Linked DNA regions of Ovis aries. The protein of the gene in region 1 interacts with the protein of each later gene in a pairwise test. Links are inferred from orthologs where the notes say so. Each region holds a gene or a part of one and is shown on either strand. Other genes may lie near its edges.

Region 1 (6,586 bases):
GACAGGAGCCAGGTCTGGGGCAGATGCTCCCAGAGGACCTGGGCTGCCCCACAGCCTGTACCTGGTGCTGACACTGGTGCCTAAGGGTCTGTGTGGACAAGTCATAGATGGCCAAGGTCCCATCCAGGTAGCCAACAGCTGCCAGAGGCATCCTGGGCAGAAGAGAGCATCACGAAGGCTCGTGGGGGGACCTGCACTTGGTGCCTCTGTCCTCTCTGGCCCTCCACCCCCCTCCCCCAAGCCCGTGTGCCCAGGCTGAGGCCGCGCTCACACTCACACACTGCAGAAGCCCAAGGACTCCACAGAGTTGGACTCACTCTCCTCCCCTTCTCCCAGGTTCGGCTGGGAGGCCACAGTCTCGGGTCTGAAAACGCCCACCACCTATGAGCCAGAGGACAGGATCAGAAGAGGGCCTGGAAACGTGATTCTCCAGTAAGAGAAGAAAACCACTGGGGTGAGGAGGCTGAGTGAAAAAAAAGAAGAAACGGAGACGCAGAAAGCAGAGGGCCCCACAGCCAGACTTCCAGGTCCCACTCACCTTGCCAGTGGTGGCACTGACCAGCTTGGCCTGGCAGTCTACAGAGCCAGTGAGGATCAGGCTGCCATCCTGGTTGGTGGCGACACAGGTCAGAGGGCCCTGGTGACCCTCGGTCCCTAGGATGAAGCAGGGAGGAAAAGTCAGGCTTCATCTTGACCCAGGTCTCGGCCCTTTCCCCACAAAGGCCTAGGTTAACACCTTCCCCACCTCCGATACCTTTTAGTACGTGGATAGGGTTTCCCTGCTTCAGGTCCCAAATCCTGATGGTGCCATCTTCATAACCAACTACAGCACGCTTCCCTAAAGGATCAGAGATGCAGGTGAAGAGTAGACAACCAGCACAGACACATCAGCACATCAGGCAAGAGAAGAGGGAGGCAGACAAGGAAGCGAGGGAGCAGACAGTGCCCCAAGGAAGGCCCAGTTCCGGGTGAGAAAGGGGGAGCTGTTTGCTCTGGTCCTGGGAGGTCCCTGCTCCCAACAGCAGACCTCGGAGTTTGCTGACCATGGCCCAGGAGGGTGCCAGGAAGGTATGGAACCCAGACCCCACGTGTCCACACTCAGGAATGCCACTCTCACCATCAGGGAGGACTCGGCCACAGGTGGCCGGGCAGTTGGGGCCCTGGAAGGTCTTGCAGTCACCAGTCGGAACCTTCCACATCCAGGTGTTGCCATCAGCCGTGCCCGCCAGGAGGACAGGTGCCCGAGGGTGCCACTCCATCCACTGGGCAGAGACAAAGGCTCAACAGGGGTACCCCCTACCCCATCTTGCCTAGAAGCCTGCCCCCGGAACTCCACCAAGCTCTCCCTGCTACCGAGTCAGTGGGGACATCCCAGGTGACGGGCCCAGACACTCCTGCTATCCTCTGGGAGAGCACTGGCTCAGAGCTGGCTTGATCCGTTCAAGGTGGCATGGGCCCCTGAGCTCTCCCCACTCCACTCGGCCCTCAGAGTTGAATCCTACTGTGACAGTCTCACCTCTAGATCTCCTGCTTCAAACGACCAGACCTCCTCCTTTGTGTCCACCTGCCACACTTTTAAGAGACCACTCATGTCTCCTGTGGCCACTAGGGTAGAGTCATGGCTGAAACCAGCACAAGTCACGGAGTCTTTATGGCCTGCAGAGAGTGAGCAGAAAGAGAAGAGAATGTCGGGGTACCTGGTGCTGGGGATACAGGACCCAGGTGTCCAGCCCCCAGAAAGTACCAGCTTGGAAAAACAGGATGAGTCCCCACAGAACAGGTAACCAAACTCAGAGCTGCTGCAGAGGCCAACACCCCCAGCTCTCCCCAGGCAAGACACTGCTGGGCCCCCACTTGACCGTGTGTAGCCCAGACTTATGTCTTCCCCATTCTGTCCACATCACACCTCTGCCTGAAATATCCACAGCCTCCTTCCCACCCCCATTCTCCGTCACTAGTGCCGCCTCCTCCAACTCTTTCCCTGACTCCCTTGGCCAATCAGCGTCTCCCTCCCCCACGCCCACAAAAGACTAGGCTATTCTTTGGGGCTCTTGGGATAAGCATAGAGCTGGCAAAACAGAGGTCAATAAATGGCTGTTGGATGTACAACCACTGCAGGCCAGCCCCCTAAGACCTCCAAAGAGGCAGGACTTCATCGAGCCCCCTCACCTGCACACTCAAAGAGCAGTTCCCCATCGCTGAGCCTCCACACAAAGGCTTTGTCGTCTTCGCCTCCTGTCACTGCCAAGGTGTTGGTCTTGGGGTCCAGGCTCACACAGAACACTGATGCTGTCCCAAGAGATATTCCAAGAGTAAGGAAGTGGGGATCCCACCTAGGTCCCGTCCTTCAGGACCTTTGGGGAGCCCACCCCGTTCCACCTAAAGCAACATGTCTTTCTTCCTAGAAAAGAAGAGTGCATCCAAGCTCTTCTAAGTTTCAAGCATTCAGTTGTTGAAGTCCTCCCCAAGCTTGCCAAATTCTAAGTCCCTCCCCAGGACACATCACCCTCCTGCGCTCTTCCCTTCACCCCACACTTCTGTGGTGGACAAGAGGAGGGGACGTGTGTAGGGCTTACAGTTCTCAGAGTGGGATGCCACCAGGTTGGGGGCTGAGTGAGGAAAGCCTGTGTTACTGGTTCCTTATCAAAAGTTAATATTTAAGAGGTTTATCCATAAGGTACTATTATCCCTAATTCAGAGTAAAGGAACTTTTATCAATGACAACTTTTTAAAAGGAAACTAAAGCCTAGAGACGTCAATAAAGATCATAAACAACCAAATAGCAGAGACAGGATTTGAACCCAAGTGTGTCTCAACCGACTCCAGGAGCCAACAGCTCCTCCACCACAAAGGCAACATTTTCCCACCGCTACACAGCGGATGATGTTCTAATGTCCACCTGGACTGATCTTAGGACAGCTCTCCCCAGGGACCTACCAGAATGCAATGCAAAAGTGACCTCGCTGTCGTCGGGGCCCTCCATGCTGCCGACCACCCCTTCCTGGGGTTCCAGGACCCAGCCCTCCTCATTGCCCTCTTCTTCTTCCTCTTCCTCGAAGTCCACATCTTCCATCTCCTGGACCAGATCGTCTGCTTTGGGGAGAGGGTTAACAGACGGTGTGCGGCAGGCGGGAAGAGGGATGGCAAGTGTGGGGAGGCCCGAGGCTGGGGTGGTCATGTGGCGAGAGGGCAAGGTGAGGTCAGACAGGAGGGGTGAAGCGGGGAGGGGGTGAGAGGCGGCAGGGAGGAGGGGGCGTGCGGAACGAAGGACCGGAGAGCTCTGAGGATCTGGGGTTGGCCAGAGACCGTGTGGGAAGGGAGGACCGAAGGAATGATGGGAAGGGGGTGTGTGAGGGGAAGGGCCAGGGGAGGCGTCAGGGGAACCCCCACCCCGGGCCAGGCCTGAGAACTAAGTGTGGGGCTGGGGGAGAGGGGAAGGGCGAAGGAGGTAAGTAGGAATGATAGGTGGGGTGGGGTGGGGAGCAGAGGGGGGAAAAGCCGGGGTCAAAAGCCAGGGGTAAGAGCCTCTTGTCCCATGGCCTGAGGATCCGCAGCTCTTACCCGGGTCCGGAGGACCAGGGTCCAGTTCTACCACCTCGATAATCTCTTCGTCACCATGGAAGCTTAGAGTCTCCAACGGGGGGGTGTCAGCAGCGGCCCCGCTCTCCGATTCGGACTCCATGCGGCGCAAGCGGCGGACCCACTTCTCTGGGCCCAAACGCCTCCCAGAGTCAGCTCTGCGCGACGACGCGGAACTCGGGCCCCTCCTCCCGGGAGGAAGTAGGCGTAGGCGACTCCCCGGCAGGGAGAGCGACGGCCTCTTGACCAATAGCGAAAGGGGTGGACCGGCTGAGTCACCAATCACAGGGCAGAAGCGGGAGACGAGGCCGAGGCGTGGAGAGGAGAACCCAAACTCTGCCCGACCTGACTCCGCCCCCAACAGGAGGGAAACAAGCGAGTGTGCGCGCTTCCGGGCTCTCCTGGGAAGAGTAGTTCTCTTGGGTACGCTGCTTGGGCTTCTGGGAGTTGTAGTTTCTGATCTGTAGGCCGGACGGATACAGCGGGGGAGGCCCCTTACGCAAACTACAATTCCCAGCGGGGACTGCGGTGAAGGGGGGGTGGGATCTGAACATGGCGGCGGTGGTAGCTGCTACGGCGCTGAAGGGCCGAGGGGCGAGAAATGCCCGCGTTCTCCGGGGTAAGGAGAGGGACCCCGGGGAGGGCGGGACTGGAGGGGATACCCTTTTTTTTCACATCCCGCTAAGCTGTAGCAGGAGTTCAGGGCTGTCGATTGTTGCCCGCATCCCTCTGCAGGATTTTAGAGTCTGGGGGCTAAAAGGTGCTCTTTAAAAGTCAACCAGTCCATCCCTCAGCCTACGACACCTCTGGGGTCTTGCACGGAAAGGGAGCCTCAAGGAAGCCTTTTAGACCCCCGCGCTCCAGGTGTTTCACACTCACCGCAGTGCAGAGGAAAAGGGCCCTGGGCTTCTGGAGGCTTGGGTTCTAGCCCCGGATAATTAGCAGTTTGACCTTGGGCGAAGCGGTTCGTCTCTTGGGGCTTCAGTTTCCTCTTCTATAAAATGAGGGGATGGAGTAGACTACCTTTAAGCTCCCCCTCCAGTGCTAACATTCTGCAGTTTGCAAACCATTTCTCGGATTTTCTTTCACACGTCTCACGCGAGCCCCACTGCAGTCCCTTCACATCCTGAGGTCTGAGGAGATGAAGAACAGCGAAGCTCGCTCTCCCGGCACTAGGGTGATGAGCCTGCAGTGACGTGGAAGCGGCTTTCAAAGGTGCCACCTCGATGGCGATTTTCCCATTTCCCTCTGGACTCTCTCAGGCACCTGTTACTCCAAATTGCAGTCACTCCCCTTCCTCAGATCTCAACCAGTCCTCCCTAGGCTTTCTTCTCCTCTTCTCTTAACTGACCTTCCTTGCCTCCATTCACAGGGATTCTCTCAGGAGCCACTGCTAACAAGGCTTCCCAGAACAGGAGCCGGGCACTGCAAAGCCACAGCTCCCCAGAGTGCAAGGAGGAGCCTGAGCCCCTCTCCCCTGAGCTGGAATACATCCCCAGAAAGAGGGGCAAGAACCCCATGAAAGCTGTGGGACTAGCCTGGTAAGTTTTAACTAACTCTTTGCCCACCAATGGGGAGTGGCACCAGGGGCGGGGGGCGGCGGGGGGGGGGGGGGACCCAGAAACTTCTCCAAGTTTCAGGTGATGAACTGAATCCAGGGTTGCCAGGACAGAATGGCTGGGTGTGAGGACTGGAATCTCAGAGGACTGGAGCAGGGGAGGGAGGTGACAAAGTCTGTGAAACTGGAGAGAGAGTGGGTTTTCTGTGCACTGAGCTGAGCTAATCTGATTCAGATTTGGGTCTATGGCCTCATCCTCTCTTTTGGGAGCTTGGGGCAGGACCCAGTTGAGGTTTTAATTGAGATCATGCAAGATTATGTTAGTTACACAGTAGTAGCACCTATAAGTCAGAGAATGCAATGGCAACACACTCCAGTACTTTTGCCTGGCAAATCCCATGAATGGAGGAGCCTGGTAGGCTGCAGTCCATGGGGTTACTAGGAGTCGGACACGACTGAGCGACTTCACTTTCACTTTTCACTTTTATGCATTGGAGAAGGAAATGGCAACCCACTCCAGTGTTCTTGCCTGGAGAATCCCAGAGAGGGAGGAGCCTGGTGGGCTGCCATCTATGGGGTCGCACAGAGTCGGACACGACTGAAGCGAGTTAGCAGCAGCACCTTTAAGTAAGATGTTCAGTGTATTGTTATTTGGATTTGATTCTGATCTTAATACTGTTGTTCAGTTGCTCGGTCATGTCTGACTCTTTGCGACCCCATGGACTGGAGCATGCCAGGCTTGAGCAATATTAAAAGCAGGGAGAAATTAATATTTTTTTCCAGCACCCGAGGTGTGCCAGTCCTTTACTGTGTATTGTTTTAGTCTTTCTGAGATAAATAGGACATCCCTATTTTACAGAGGAGGGAACTGAGGCTCAGAGCTGGGTTTTCACCAGGTCTTATAACTCCACGCCCTTTCTCCATGCTGAAGTGCCTCCCACATAGCAGTTGCTCAGGTTAAGGAGAGTCAGGGATGGGGTGTGGGGCGGTTTAGGCAGAGGGAATTTTTGCCAGGACTTGGAGAGGGAAAGAGGTTGGGCTTTCTGGAGAACCCTGCACAGTTGTTACGGCAGGCTGGCAGGGTTCATGCTAGGGAGTGTCAGACTAAAGGGAAAAGGAGTGACAGGTGGGCAAAGACCCAACCACAAGGCCTTTTGTGCCGTGCCTGGGAGTTTGAACTTGGCCAGGAAGTGATGGAGAACTGTTGCGGAGTTCTGAGCGGGGCAGTGGCAGGATCCGATTCATGCGGTGCCTTCCAGCAGCCAGCACTGAAGCTGAATAGATGCGAGGAGTATTACAGTGTTGGTGCAGTTGATGAAGCTGGAATGAGGTTCTGCCCAGCTCCTCTGGCTGAGGCTCGGCCCCTCCCCAAATCCCATGCACATCTCCCCACCCCTAGGGCCATCGGCTTCCCCTGTGGTATCCTCCTCTTCATCCTCACCAAGCGGG
Region 2 (6,514 bases), on another chromosome or scaffold:
GTGCTTCCTCCGAAGCACATCCTTGGCATTCCGGCTGGCCAGGGAAGGGCTCAGGCACTGCACTGACTCAGGAGCTTCCTGGGGTACCATCCCCATCTGTGCACCACTCAGGGCCAGGGAGGCCTGGGAGGTGATCTGCCAACAGGGCAGCAGCCTGGGAGAGAAACAGGGCAGAGGGGCAGGGTGAGGAACAGGCCCGGCCAGCCCTGCCCCCCCACCCGCTCCCTCCAGCCAGTGCGCAACTGCTGTACAGTGTCTCAAGACCCCAGACAAAGCCAAGGACCTGCTTTAATGATAACTGCACTCATAGGGTCAACATCACCTGCAAAATCACTGTCTTAAGTACTTTACATGGAATCACTCAATCTTTCCCACAACTCAGAAAGGTATTATTATCCCCATGTTGTAGGTGCGAAAGGTGAGGCATGAAGGCTTAGTAATTCATCCAATTAATAAACAGACAAAGGCTGATGTGAACCCAGAACCCAGGCTTTCAAATTCCACACCATAGCCTACCTCCAACATTGTTAGCTTAAACTAAAAATTATGAAAAACTTTTAGAGAGGTTTAAGAGAAAATAAACAAAATGAGAAAATAAAGATTACAGAGATGTTACATATATACGAAATCCCATTTTGGATAAACAAACAAAAGCTTTATGCAGTGTAAAGGTAGAACCTTTCCTACCCACAGTAGAACCTAGAGAAACTATCTCACAGGAAGCCCACAACAGTTGTATTTTTGATATGTGTTAACCAAAATGACATATCTATCAACTGACTTTCTAATTCACTCGTCATAACACTGTCTACAAACATTTAACATAGTTGGACTTTGTAGTGTAATCATGGAGGCCTACAGGCATAGGTGTGTGCTGGTAAACCAGCTCAAATCTAAACAGGAGAAACAGAAAAGAGCCCTGATGTACAGTGCTGTAGACTTCCGTGGTCCCTCCTCCACGCTCTCCATGCCTGAACGCTGGGTTGACAGGAGATGCTGTCACACACCATGGTCACAGGAAACAGCTGTTTGCTCCTGTGGGTTTACAAACCCCATGCAAAGACTGGCATCTTCCAAATCGTCAAGGATGCAGCTTGGGAAGCCTCATCTCATTTGCTGTGCTAAGTCATAAGTCAGCTGGTAGATTTTGAACAGACCACAAAACCAGCGCTTTGAAGTAGTCAGAGCAGGGACTAACTCAGCTCAGAATAAGTACCTAACCAATTCAGGTTCTTTGCATGTAAACCCACCCTTCCCTTGTGAATAGGAAATGGTAAAATCCATGTGTATTTTTAAAAATTATTATTATTTTAAAAGTTACTGGAGTATAACTGATTTACAGTGTTGCTATTAACTTCAGCTGTATAACAAAGTGATCAGTTACACACACAAATATTCCTTTTCATGTGCTTTTCCATTATGATTTATCACAGGATATTGAATATAGTTCCCTGCGCTATACAGGGGGCTTCCCCAGTGGGTCAGTGATTAAAAAAAATCCACCTGCAATGCAGGAGGCGAGGGTTCTATCCCTTGGTCCTGAAGATCCCCTGGAGGAGGGCATGGCAACCCACTCCAGTATTATTGCCAGGAAAATCCCATGGACAGAGGAACCTGGCGTGCTGTAGTCCATGGGGTCACAAAGAGTTGGACATGACTGAGCATCTAAGCAGCAGCAGCAGTGCTATCTATACTTGTTTATCCATCCTATTTGTAATAATTTGCATTTGCTAATCCCAAACTCCCAATCCTTCCCTTCCCCACCCCATTATTTCAGTCTCCTGGTTCATTAATCCATCTTTCATCTAGACTGTATACTTTGATATAGCCTTTAAAATCTTTATAGGTGACCAATTTTAATTGCAACTGTATTCATGAAAATGCTGTTTCCTAGTACATCTGATTAAAATTGAGCTGCTCATTCTTAACTCCTGAATCAACTATTCTTCATAGTATCAAAGGGATTTTCTGTGGAGTCAGTACAGTGTCGTATCCTAGGCTTTCAACTGGTTAGTATATATTTTTATTGCGGCCAAATCCCCATTACGCTACATATTTACATTTATTTTATGTATATATTATAAACCCCCTGCATACACCCACACACACACATAAATATATGGAAGGACCCATGACTGTCATCAGGCCAGGTATTTAAAAAGCAGAAGCGCTAAGTTAGAGAAGGCCTGGCAGTGGAGGAGATACTTTGAAGGGTTTCAGAAAGGTCTACCAGTCAGCCCAGGAAGGGAAGGGCATGCAGACAGGAAAAAACATGGACACAAAGTCCAAGAGGCAGGACAGACTCATGGTGGGAAAGCAAGGATTTGGATGCAGCAACTGGAAAGAAAGGAGGTAGGGGCGAGGAGACGGGGATAGTCAGGGAGAACTGTCCCTGGAGAAAAGTCAAAGTTGGGGCTTCATCCAAAGGTAGGTGGGAACCATCAATCTCCAGAGTTTTAGGGAGAGAGGGACAGGATCACAATTGCCTTAAAGGAAGAGAGTTGGAGAAAGAACATAGGACTCTGCACAAGGGCAGCAGAGATTAAGAGAAATGGGAGGAGAGATGAACTACCTACCATGCGGTGATGCCTGGGCCAGACAGGAGTCTCCATGACATCCTCCCTCTGCTTCCTGATCCCTTCCCCCGAGAACCCTTCTCCTTTTTAAAGGGGCTCTCAACTATAATCACCTTCATATTCACAAGTCACCTACTGAGGCTGACAGATACAGAACCTCAACTTGCCTTGGCCCAGTAATGGGGAGAATGAGGTCTAAGAAGACAGAGAGCCGCTAATAACTGCCTTCTGTAGGGGAGGAGGGACCTTGTCCTTCTCTGAGATGGCCAAGGACCCTGCAAGGTCAGGAGGCCTGGACTAGGGTCGATGGCCTCCCTAAACCTGTTGACAAAGTTTCAAAGAGGCCAGAAATTGGTGGCATGGTGGTAAAGAATTCACCTGCCAATGCAGGAGATGCAGGATCCCTGGGTTGGAAAGATCTCCTGGAGAAGGAAATGGCAACTCATTCCAGTTATCCTTGCCTGGGAAATCCCACGGACAGAGGAGCCTGGAGGTCCGTGGGGTCGCAGAGCCACATGGAGGAGGGGGGAAAAAAGGTCTCGGGGCTCTTTGTTCCAAGAAATGAAAGCAGTCCTCTTCTACATGTCCTGACTTAGCTGACACATCAGAACCAACAGTTAATCATCAAGAGCACACAGTCCTCATCTTGGGCTGCCACACGGAGCTCAGTGAAGCTAGGCAGAAGCTTCGCTCAAACAACAAATGTTTCAGTGAAGCAAACAAATCTCTCTCCCGCCCAGAACCAACATCTGAATCAGCAGCCAACAGGCCTTTGGGCAAAGGAACTCCAAAGTCAGAATCGCCAGTGGCCTCAGGGCCACCAACTTGTGGGCTATCAGGAAGATGGGCAGTCTAGACCCTGCTCTGGCACTAAAGAGCTAGATGAACAGGACCAAGACACTGTCTCCTAACTCAGGGGTCCCCAACCTCTGGGCCACAGACCAGTACCTCCTGTCAGATCAGCAGCCCCATTAAATGAGAAAGAACCATAAGGCACTTGAATTATCCAGAAACCATCCACCCTGCCTTCCCAGTCCATGGGAAAATTTGTCTTCCAAACCGGTCCCTGGTGCCAATAAAAGTTGGGGATGGCTGACCTAACTTAAAACTAGGGTTTATTAAACCCAGCGTCGAACTAGGTTGCTGCTGCTGCTGCTGCTAAGTCACTTCAGTCGTTCCCGACTCTGTGCGACCCCAAGACGGCAGCCCACCAGGCTCCCCCATCCCTGGGATTCTCCAGGCAACCCACCTCCAAAAAGCAGCTCATTATCAGAAACAATTAAGAAGTCTGTTTAAAAAGTCTGATTTCCAAGCCTACCCCCACACCTTCTCAACTGCCATTTGGGGAAAAGGGCCCTCGAATCTATTTCAGACTGCGCGGCCCCGCCCCCCGCAACAGGACACTAATAATCGCCGGAATTTGAGAAAAGCCGGCTCGATGAGATCCCCTGTGCTGCTGAAAAGTTAAAATGAGACAAGAAAGTCCGAGGAGATCCTGCTCAGTCTCCCATGGCCGCCGGCTTTCCGGGGAGTGACTTGCGGGCGGCCCGGCCTCACCAGGGAGGGACTGAAGCACTGGTCACTCAGGGGTCGCGGTTGCCCGGCCAACGCCCACCAGGCCCGGCCCCACTGCCCAGCGCCACCCACTCAGACCCGAGACCCTAGAGCAGGGCGCGATGCGGGCCAAGAGGCGCCCCGGGCCGGGCCTGCACTCCCGGGGCCCCGGGAGCAGAGCCGGCCCGGCCGGGAGTCCCCGGCCACAAGTCGGGGGCGGACACACCTCGCGGGGGCCCTCCGCGGCCTGGACATGTCGCGCCAGCCAGCCCCACCCCGAGATCCCCGGCAGGGTCCCCGAGATCACCTGAAAGCCCCACGAGTCCCCTCACGCCAGCACGTGGCGTCCAGGCAGCCGGCAGCCGCTACACGCCCGGGCAAGCCCGCTGCGGCCGCCCGCCTATTGGCTAGCTGGACGGCAGCTCCCGCCTAAGGCCTTTTCTGATTGGTCGGAAGCCTGGCTGGCTGCCGGTTGGCACTGGGCGCATAAGGGGCGGGGACTCCAAGAGGGGCGTGGTTTGTGCCCAGGCGGGCCCCACCCGCGGAAAATTTTAAAGCCGACTGGAGGGGACTGTGGCCTCTTTTCTCGCCAGGGTCCGCTCCCACCTAGGTCCCCAGGCTCCAATTCATCCCCCTCCCTGGGTGAGGATGTGGACTCTTATGAGCTCCGTGCCACTAAAAGCAGAATGACTTACTGTGTACACACCCACATTTGAAAAAGTTGGCCCCTTCCTCCTCCAGGGTTGAGGAGACTGGGTGAAAGAGTAATACACCTGATAAGCACTAAAGAAAGATTTTTTAAAATTAGGATTGCTTCTTCGGAGCAATTTTTTTCATTGGTCCTTTTGCAGTACTTTATTCATAAGTAATACGTTCCTGCCATGGGCTCCGCAGTGGGATACATAGAATAAGCTTCGTTGGTGGAGATTCTAGTTGCTCACAGTTTGGCACAGTAACAGAAGTTAACAGCTAACTTACTGCAACGTGAGTAATAAAAACAATAATAAAGAGCTTGCATTTATTATTGAGCATTAACAGTATGCCAGGCAAAACACCTGTTTAGTCTGAGGAACTCTTTGAGATATTATCTCTGTTTCACAATTAGGGAGACTGACATTTAAAGAAATTAAGGAAAAACAGCTCAAATCCAAACCAAGACCCTTACCTATGAAGTCAGATTCCTTCTAGCTCCATTTTGCAAGCAGCAGTGCCATCGCAAGGTAACGAGAGGGTCAGAGGTACCTGGGCCTATTTCTGACCAGAATATAGATTTAAGGGAAGCAGGACAAAGGATAAGGCCGCTGGAGAGATAAGCATTCCTACTCAGATTCTTGATGGTTTGGAGGAGATGGAAAGAGTTTCAGCCAGAGCTGGTTCACCAGCAGATCTACATTTGGGGGAGCTCACCCTGGCTGCAGTATGAGAGGAATGGGCCATGCCTGGAGAAAAAGGAGTGGGAGCAGGTGACTGTGGACACTACGGCAGGATAAGATCCTAATGGCCAAAGTGGTGCACGTGTGTGTGCCTGCTCAGCTGTGTTTGACTCTTTGCAACCCGTAGACGGTAACCCACCAGCTCCTCTGTCCACAGGGTTTCCCAGGCAAGAATACTGGAGTGGGTTGCCATTTCCTTCTCCAGAGATCTTGCCGACACAGGGATCAAACCTGCATCTCTTGTGTTCCTGCCTTGGCAGGCAGATTCTTTACCACTGCACCATGTGGGAAGACCAACCAGAGTGCTAGGTAGGGAGGATAAACAGCCTGGGACAGATTCCTGAGCTCCTTAGGAGGCAGCGTTGAGAGGACAGAGAAGGGAAGGAATGCAGAGTAGCTGTTTTCAGACAAGGTGACTTTGTCAGAGGCAACTCTGGGGACAGGAAGGGGTTCAAGAGAGTCAGTTACCAGAACCTCGACTCCTGTGGGACTAGACCTGGGAATGGAACTGGAGTCTTTGAAGTCCAGCTTCCCTCTCCCCTTGTATAACCAGCTGTCTCCCACTTTACAAAGGAAAGTCACAGACACACACCCAGTCTAAACTTTGCTCTGCAACATTGCCCTAGGAATAAAGGAGTCTCCCAATTCTGAATATGAATTGGGTTTCCCAAGTGGCTCAGCAGTAAGGAATCATCTGCCAAGCAGAAGACATGAGTTCTATACCTGGATCAGGAAGATCCCCTGGAGAGAGAAATGGCAACCCACTTCAGTATTCTTGCTGGGAAATCTTATAGACAGAGGAGTCTGGTAGGCTACATGGGGTCACAAGAGAGCTGGACACAACTCAGCAACTGAACAGCAACAACAACGGGCTATGATCCAGGACTGGCAAGAAACCCTTCTACCAGTCTATTGGTTTCCGATTCTTTGCTTTTGCTATGATCCAAGGAG
Region 3 (6,514 bases), on another chromosome or scaffold:
TCAAAGCCACAGACCCAGCTCCCAAAGTGGAGACTGACTCACAGACCAAGACTTTGCAGCTTTTGGAAATTCAGCTGCTTTATATCAGAAGGGGCTACTCTCTGGGAGGGAAAGGCCCAGAGGTCTGAGACAATCCCCCCTAAGTCTCCTGATGTCAGGCAATCCTTCACAAGTTCCCTACGCCCAAAGGAGCTTTAACGTCCCATACCAACACACAATGCATAGTCAGGCACGCACGCGCGCACACGCACACACACACACACACACATACACACACACACCTGAATCTTCTCTCCCTGCCTCAGATGATCTTGGCATACACACTGAAACAATCTCGCTGCACTCACAAACACATTTTTTTTTTTTTTGGAAGTAGGGAGGAAGGAAAGTGAAGCAGCAGGATCCCCTAAATAGTTTAGTCTTTGGTTTCTAAGTTTAAAGGGGGGATCTGCTTCAGAGCTTGGAGCAGGGCAGAAGAGTCGATGGCAGGATGGGAGGGCAGGGGAGAAGGGAGTCTCTGGGGCATAAGCAAGGGGGCCGAGATCTTGTCTGGGTTCATGAAGCTGCTGAGGGCTGCGGCAGAGGCGTTGAGGCCCGGGTATAACACTGGGACAGACGTGGGGTACCAGCACTTCTCCAGCATGGGCAAGTAGGCAGTTGCTGACGGTGGGATCAGGTAGAAGGGCAGGCAGAACGGAGGCTGGTGCGGGTGTGGGCCCAGGAACGGGGAGCTGATCAGGTCAGTGCTAGTGAAAGGGCCTTCATCATCAGAGAGCTGCATTCTGCTCTTTTTCATGGGGGGTTCTTCGGATTCTTGCTTAATAGCACTGATCCTTTCTCCCATGGTGAATCTGCGTCCATGATCGCTTTTGAAGTACGGCTGCTCGACACGCAGCTCACTCTTCTCCGATTCTCCTCCGTAGCCGCTGTCTGTGTCCGTATCACTGCCACTCTGCTCGCCACTCGAGTGGGCGAAAGTTCGCTGGATGACTGGCACACAGTTTTTGCCTGGGCCTTCGGAGCCTTTGGCCAGGGAGCTGGGTTTCTCCTTGAAGTCCATTGCTTTGGGGGCTGGGTCTGACGGCTTCCTGGAAGTACCGCCCTGTAGAAGCTCGGAGACCACACGGTGGAGGTGGGTGACAAGCTGTGAAGATTTCAGGTCCCGAGTATTCTCATGCTTGGCCAGGTACTGAAGCACCTCCCGGGCACATGTCTGGAAACCTGAGCAGAACATCTCTTGGCCTGCCTCCACATTTCTTCCCGACAGATCACCTGGATCAACACAGATGCAAAGAGAGACATTTCAGAAGGCGCTGTGGTTCACATGGATACCTAGGTTCCAAAGACCCCGGGGCTTTCCTTTTTGTTAATAGCATTTGCTGATTGTATTTCTAACTCCAAGAGTAATATGATCAGGGGAAATTTGAATTACACTGAAAAGTATAAAGATTAAACTAAAAATCATCCATAATTCTACCTCTCAGAGATAAAATATGATTTGTAATGGCTGTGTAATATCATAGGCATAGACCACATTTGACAGAGACAGACGGTTTCCCCTCTTGTTGCATTTCTAAGGAATTCTTGAGTTTTCGTTATAAGTAACACAGCCATAATCATCCTAGTGTGCTCATAACCAGAGTCAATTTACAGAACATCATCTTACCATAGTGAGATGGACAGTGACCAGTCAAAAAATGAGAATGAAGGAACCACGTCACCTAAAGTACGCTTATTTTCAATGGCTTATACAAGTTGCAGTCATGCTGCTATATTTAAAGGCTATTTCTAGGTTTTTCTCATATAGTGTATCCATGATCCCCAGGAAGTTAGGTATGACCATCTTTCTGTTTTCAATGAGGCAACTGGCAGAACGACTTCCTCATTGTCCTGGTTTGGAGAGGAGAGGAGAGAAGAACGAGGGAGTGGGTAGAGGAATTTCTCCCTCGTTTGTACAGTATTATTTGGAATGGGTGAGACCAGACGGTTAGATGACTGTGATTCTCTGGAAGTCCGTAGAAATGGGTGATGAAACTTCAGTGGTTTCGTTAGATTGTGTAATTCACCGAGATACCTAGTGGCTATTCAGGGAACCACATGAAATGCAGGAAAAACTACTGCTGTCATCTTGCCAGGCTCATACCACACACCGAGGGATAAGGAAGTGGAGAAACATTAAAACACTGGGGCATACCCATGATTTATTCTCCAATGAAACAGGGCTAAGGAAAACAACTGTAAAACACCCACGATGCAAATTATAGGTGCCTTGGCATTTTCAAAGTGGAGGGGACTCCCAGAACCCCAGAAACTCTTAAGCCAAAATGCCACAGAAATATTTTACCATTTGACTAATATGTATTCATGCCAGGTGGCACACAGCAGCATTCCAAATGAAAAGTCTGACCTTTTAGGAAAGATAAAACAGCATCTCCCCCAACTAACATGCATAAGCAATTTGTTGCGGGAATGTTTCTTACACCAGATGTTGAGCTTACAGGCTCTCTATTTGTGCTAGAACTCTAAGGAGATGATAGCCAAACATGGTACTCACCAGCTTGCAGACCGCTCTGCAGGGCAATGATTTTCTGCTGTTGTTGATCAATTAGGTTTGTTAATGCTTTCACATGCTTCAAGGTAAGTTCAAGAACCACTGCTTTTTCCAAGTGACCCAAAGTCTGGAATAAAAAGAGCCTCCGTCAGCAGTGAGCTCAGAGAAGTCCCACCTCTGGGATACTAATTAGCCATGAGATTCATCAGTCGCCTGGGCTACACTTCATGGGGTCGCAAGAGTCAGACACCACTAAGCGACTAAACCACCACCACCGAATGTCTCTAAAGGGGGATAAAAAGGTCTGTTCCTGGTTGGCTAAATTAAGTTTTAAGTTTATAGATGATGTTTAAAAATATGTATATATGCATATATTTTTGATTAGAGGACAGCAAACAAGTGTACCCCATCTTTGGAGGCATTTTGGAAGCAGCAGCTAGCTCAGGAGAAAGCTTTGACAGATAAATTTTTCCAGCAGCCGTTGCTGACCTTAACTCAGGGGAATCCAGAGATAACATTTCTCTGCAGTGGTGTCAACCCTAGTAGAGACTTCTACTGTGTCTGGCAGCCAAGAGGCTTTCCCTAGTTTCTTTCCTGACACCCTGTCATAACTTCTAGCTCATCTACGCTTTTTTGTTCCTTCCTAAATACTATTTTCTCCTAAATACTATTTTTCTCTTCTTTCCCCAACCAAAGGTTGCCAATCTAGTAAGCTATTGACAATCGCCAAGAAAGGACAGGACGTAAAAAAAAAAAAAAAAAAGACACATCAAAACAAGTCCTCTTATTTTAAAAAGGGATGTGGGGAAGGGGGTAAAAAAAAAAAGTGGGTTGCTGGATTTGCTCAATGTGAGAAAAGGAGAACCCGGAGAATCACCTTAAACTCTAGCAAAGGAAGGCCGGCTGGTGTTGGTGCCAAGCTGGACAAGTACAAATGATTCTTATCTTATTTGCACGAGGTTGCCAGAAAATTCTGAGACTGGAGAAGGGTACCCCCAAACAGAGCCAGCCACTAGCTAGGATCCAGCCATCTGGTCTGCAGTTCCTGGCGGAGCCTGCAGGCGGCGGGTGACCCTCGCCCGCCCTCTGGGCAGAGGAGCTGGTTTGGAGAGGGGCCAGCTTCTCACTTACTGTAAGTTTGAGATGTTCGGGGAGGAGATCCTTCAGCTGGGCGATGCACTCGTTAATCCGGTCACGTCTCTTTTTCTCGATGAGCCGGTGCGGCAGTTTGTAGGTTTCCTGCAAAGCGCACGGAGAGATGGTGGGCGCGGGAGGAAGGAGGTGAGAAGCGCTTCTCCTTTCCCACCCCGCGGCAGAAGAGTCTCGGCAGTGGAGCAGAGTCACACCCAGAACCCTATCTGCCCCTTCTTCTCCAAGCCACTCAGTAGAGGCACAGGGCCCACACCTTGCATACCTCCCTCCAACGTTAAAGTGAGAAAACTTTTATTGGAAACTCAGCGCGTGCGAGGGCCTGGGGTCCACAGGGGCGCGGTGCTCTTACCTTGCTGTCCTCGCTCCGCTTTATTCCCCGCCTCGACTTGTACACTTGGTACATATGGGCAAAATCCATCCTGCAGGGAGAGGGACGAGGAAGGGTCATGACTTGCGCATCGGTTGCAGGAGCCCTGACTGGCAAGAACCCCCGGATGCACCCAGAACTACTTGGAGTTGAAAGCCGCGTAGAAGGCAGGACTGGAGTTGAGGCTTGAAGGGGCCAGGGGTGCCAACTTACCCTGGTAGGTCTCCGGGCTCCAGTCCTGGCGCTTTGGGCAGGCAAGTGGGGGGCGGTTGCGCGCTGGGGATCCGCTCCATTGCGCTGCGAGCCGGGGCCACTCTGCGCTCCTGTCTGCAGTGGCGGAGCGTCGGGTGAGGACTGTCGTGGAGGAGGTTTCGGGGGTCTCTCCGCAGGGCTTCCACTGAGTCAGAGCTCTCTGAAATCCGCTGGGCTGCGAAGAGCTGCGGCTTTGAGGTGCTGCTTCAGTTGGGGGCGTGCATGGTGTACCCGCGGCCTCTGGCTCCGGCTCTGCGCACAGACTGGCGGTGTGTGCTCCCAGTGCCGTCTGCACGGTGCGAGCCAAGTGAATGAGAAGTGGGGCGGGCGGGGAGGCGGGAGGGAGGGGGGGTGCGGTTAGGGCGGAGTGGGGGGGGGGATGGTGGGGGAGAGCCGAGGAGTAATGGAGAGGCTGCGGGCTGGGTTAAATGGGAGCGAGTGGGTGGGTTGGAGCTACGTGTTCTACCCTGTGACTCCAGGCACGTCTGGCCGCTGCCGGGGAGGGAAGGAGCGACCTGCCCGCCCTCCCCCGGCTTCATCACATGAGTCTCACGTGTTGGACAACGCTCCCGCGGCTGCGAGGGAGCCCCCACCCCCCAGCCCCGGCCCCCAGGTGTCTGCGGCTGCCTTTCCCCGAAGAGGGGGTTGGCAGGGCAGTCTGGGTCCTGCCTAGCTGGGCGAGGGGCGCGGAAGCTGGAAGGGGCTAGGGAGCCGGGGAGGTGGTGGGGGGAGGTTGGTAACGTGGGCGAACCTGCCCCAGGGAAATGAAGTAAGTTCCCGTCTCCTGGGAGGGAACGGGGGAGGACGGATCCGCCCGCGTCTGACTCAAGCCGGGAGAGGAATATCCCCTCGCTCGCTCCAGCCCAACCCTCTTCCTCCTCCTCCCCCCGCGCGCCCGCTCGGAGGAACCAGCGCGCAGCAGAGGGAGTCGCCCGGCCCCCCTGCCTTCCCCAGAGGCTGGGGTTTCTTTCCGCGCCGGCTTCCCTGCCCCCACCCCTCGGCCCCGAGTCCAGGAATCGCCCGCCGTGGGGAGGGGCCGAGGAGGGCGGGGCGGATGTCACCCCATGGGAAGCGGGCTGGCAGCCAAGCGCAGGGGCAGGCGAGGCCGCCGCGGAGCACGCTGCGCGCACCTGACCCGCTAGGCTGTGCGCCGCGGTCCCTGGCTCCTTTGGAGCTGTGCTCCCGGGGCGCAGTCTGCGTGCCGGCGGACACTCACTTGCGCACCCCCCAGGGTGCCCCAGTGCCCCCACCCCCCTCCCCGGCCCACACTTAGGCTGATCAAGCACAGAAAGAGACCGGGCGCGGTGCCCTGCGTTTCCTCCCTCCTCTGCCCCCACTGGAGCAGAGGCGCCCGGGTCCCCTCCCCTTGGGCTGCAACGTTACACAACCGCGGCAGCGGCGCTTGCCCTGCGGCAGCGCGGGGCGTGACACTTCACCTGGCCTGGGCTTGGGCCGCAGAGCTCCTGACAGAGCGCCCTTCTGCCCTGGCCGGGGACCAAGACCCCCGAGCACAGGAGCTCCCGGGGGTCGGGGTCGTCCATCTCCCCCTGCCGGGGACTTCTGCGGCGCAGTGTGCGGTCTGCAGCCGGGGCAGGATGGAAAAGAGAGACTTGGAAAAACTGCCCATCACGCTGACGTCTTAGCGTTCATTCACTCGACAAGTGTTGGTTGAGCCCCCTACCCTGTGCCCGGCGTTGTGCTTAGATACGCTGCCAGATACACTGTAGGTGAATGGAACACAGATGCTGCTCTTGAATTCACAGGAACCTCTGAGGAGGGCTTACCCTGGGAAATGAGGGGAAGGCAGTACTGGGAAAATTGTATCGGTGCTGCTGGTGAAGAGAAGGGAGAAGATAAGATAGAAAGTGTGGGCTTAAAAAAATTTTTTTGGTATTAAAAAAAATTATTTTTAAAAATTTAATGTGAACCACAATATCTGGGCAGAGGAGGAGAGGGGAGACGTTAACCCATCGCCCGGAGCCTGGGGCAGAAGGGCCTCCTCCAAGCGGCTCCAGATCTCTGCAATCTCTCTGAGGCCGCCCGAGGCCCCCACCCACTCCCCCGGAAAAGTCCGGCCTCTGTGACCTTCTAACTCTGCCTGGAGCAGGGAAAACAGCTGAAACTCCAAGCCCGCTCTGTGAGCAGCGCTGATGCTGTCAGAGGAGGGAGCCAGTGGAAATTCATGACTAAAA

What was found.
Region 2: the proteins of AAMP (region 1) and AEN interact in binary tests that used the Homo sapiens proteins (3 or more experiments, as listed by UniProt). The link is inferred for Ovis aries from reciprocal best matches to the Homo sapiens genes AAMP and AEN.
Region 3: the proteins of AAMP (region 1) and BHLHE40 interact in a two-hybrid assay, tested with the Homo sapiens proteins (2 studies listed by BioGRID and IntAct). The link is inferred for Ovis aries from reciprocal best matches to the Homo sapiens genes AAMP and BHLHE40.

The regions. Positions count from the first base shown.
Region 1 is NC_056055.1:220,305,007-220,311,592, forward strand, and holds the start of AAMP (angio-associated migratory cell protein), read right to left. Parts: upstream 3,734-6,586; 5' UTR 3,683-3,733; coding exon 3,562-3,682; intron 3,094-3,561; coding exon 2,938-3,093; intron 2,290-2,937; coding exon 2,170-2,289; intron 1,657-2,169; coding exon 1,517-1,656; intron 1,263-1,516; coding exon 1,118-1,262; intron 839-1,117; coding exon 755-838; intron 655-754; coding exon 539-654; intron 382-538; coding exon 278-381; intron 153-277; coding exon 62-152; intron 1-61. UniProt on the Homo sapiens protein: Plays a role in angiogenesis and cell migration. In smooth muscle cell migration, may act through the RhoA pathway.
Region 2 is NC_056071.1:18,976,689-18,983,202, reverse strand, and holds the start of AEN (apoptosis-enhancing nuclease), read right to left. Parts: upstream 4,506-6,514; 5' UTR 2,696-4,505; coding exon 2,577-2,695; intron 155-2,576; coding exon 1-154. UniProt on the Homo sapiens protein: Exonuclease with activity against single- and double-stranded DNA and RNA. Mediates p53-induced apoptosis.
Region 3 is NC_056072.1:21,379,839-21,386,352, forward strand, and holds BHLHE40 (class E basic helix-loop-helix protein 40), read right to left. Parts: upstream 4,364-6,514; coding exon 4,284-4,363; exon of another isoform or gene 4,123-4,283; coding exon 4,053-4,122; exon of another isoform or gene 3,791-4,052; coding exon 3,683-3,790; intron 2,679-3,682; coding exon 2,555-2,678; intron 1,273-2,554; coding exon 416-1,272; downstream 1-415. UniProt on the Homo sapiens protein: Transcriptional repressor involved in the regulation of the circadian rhythm by negatively regulating the activity of the clock genes and clock-controlled genes.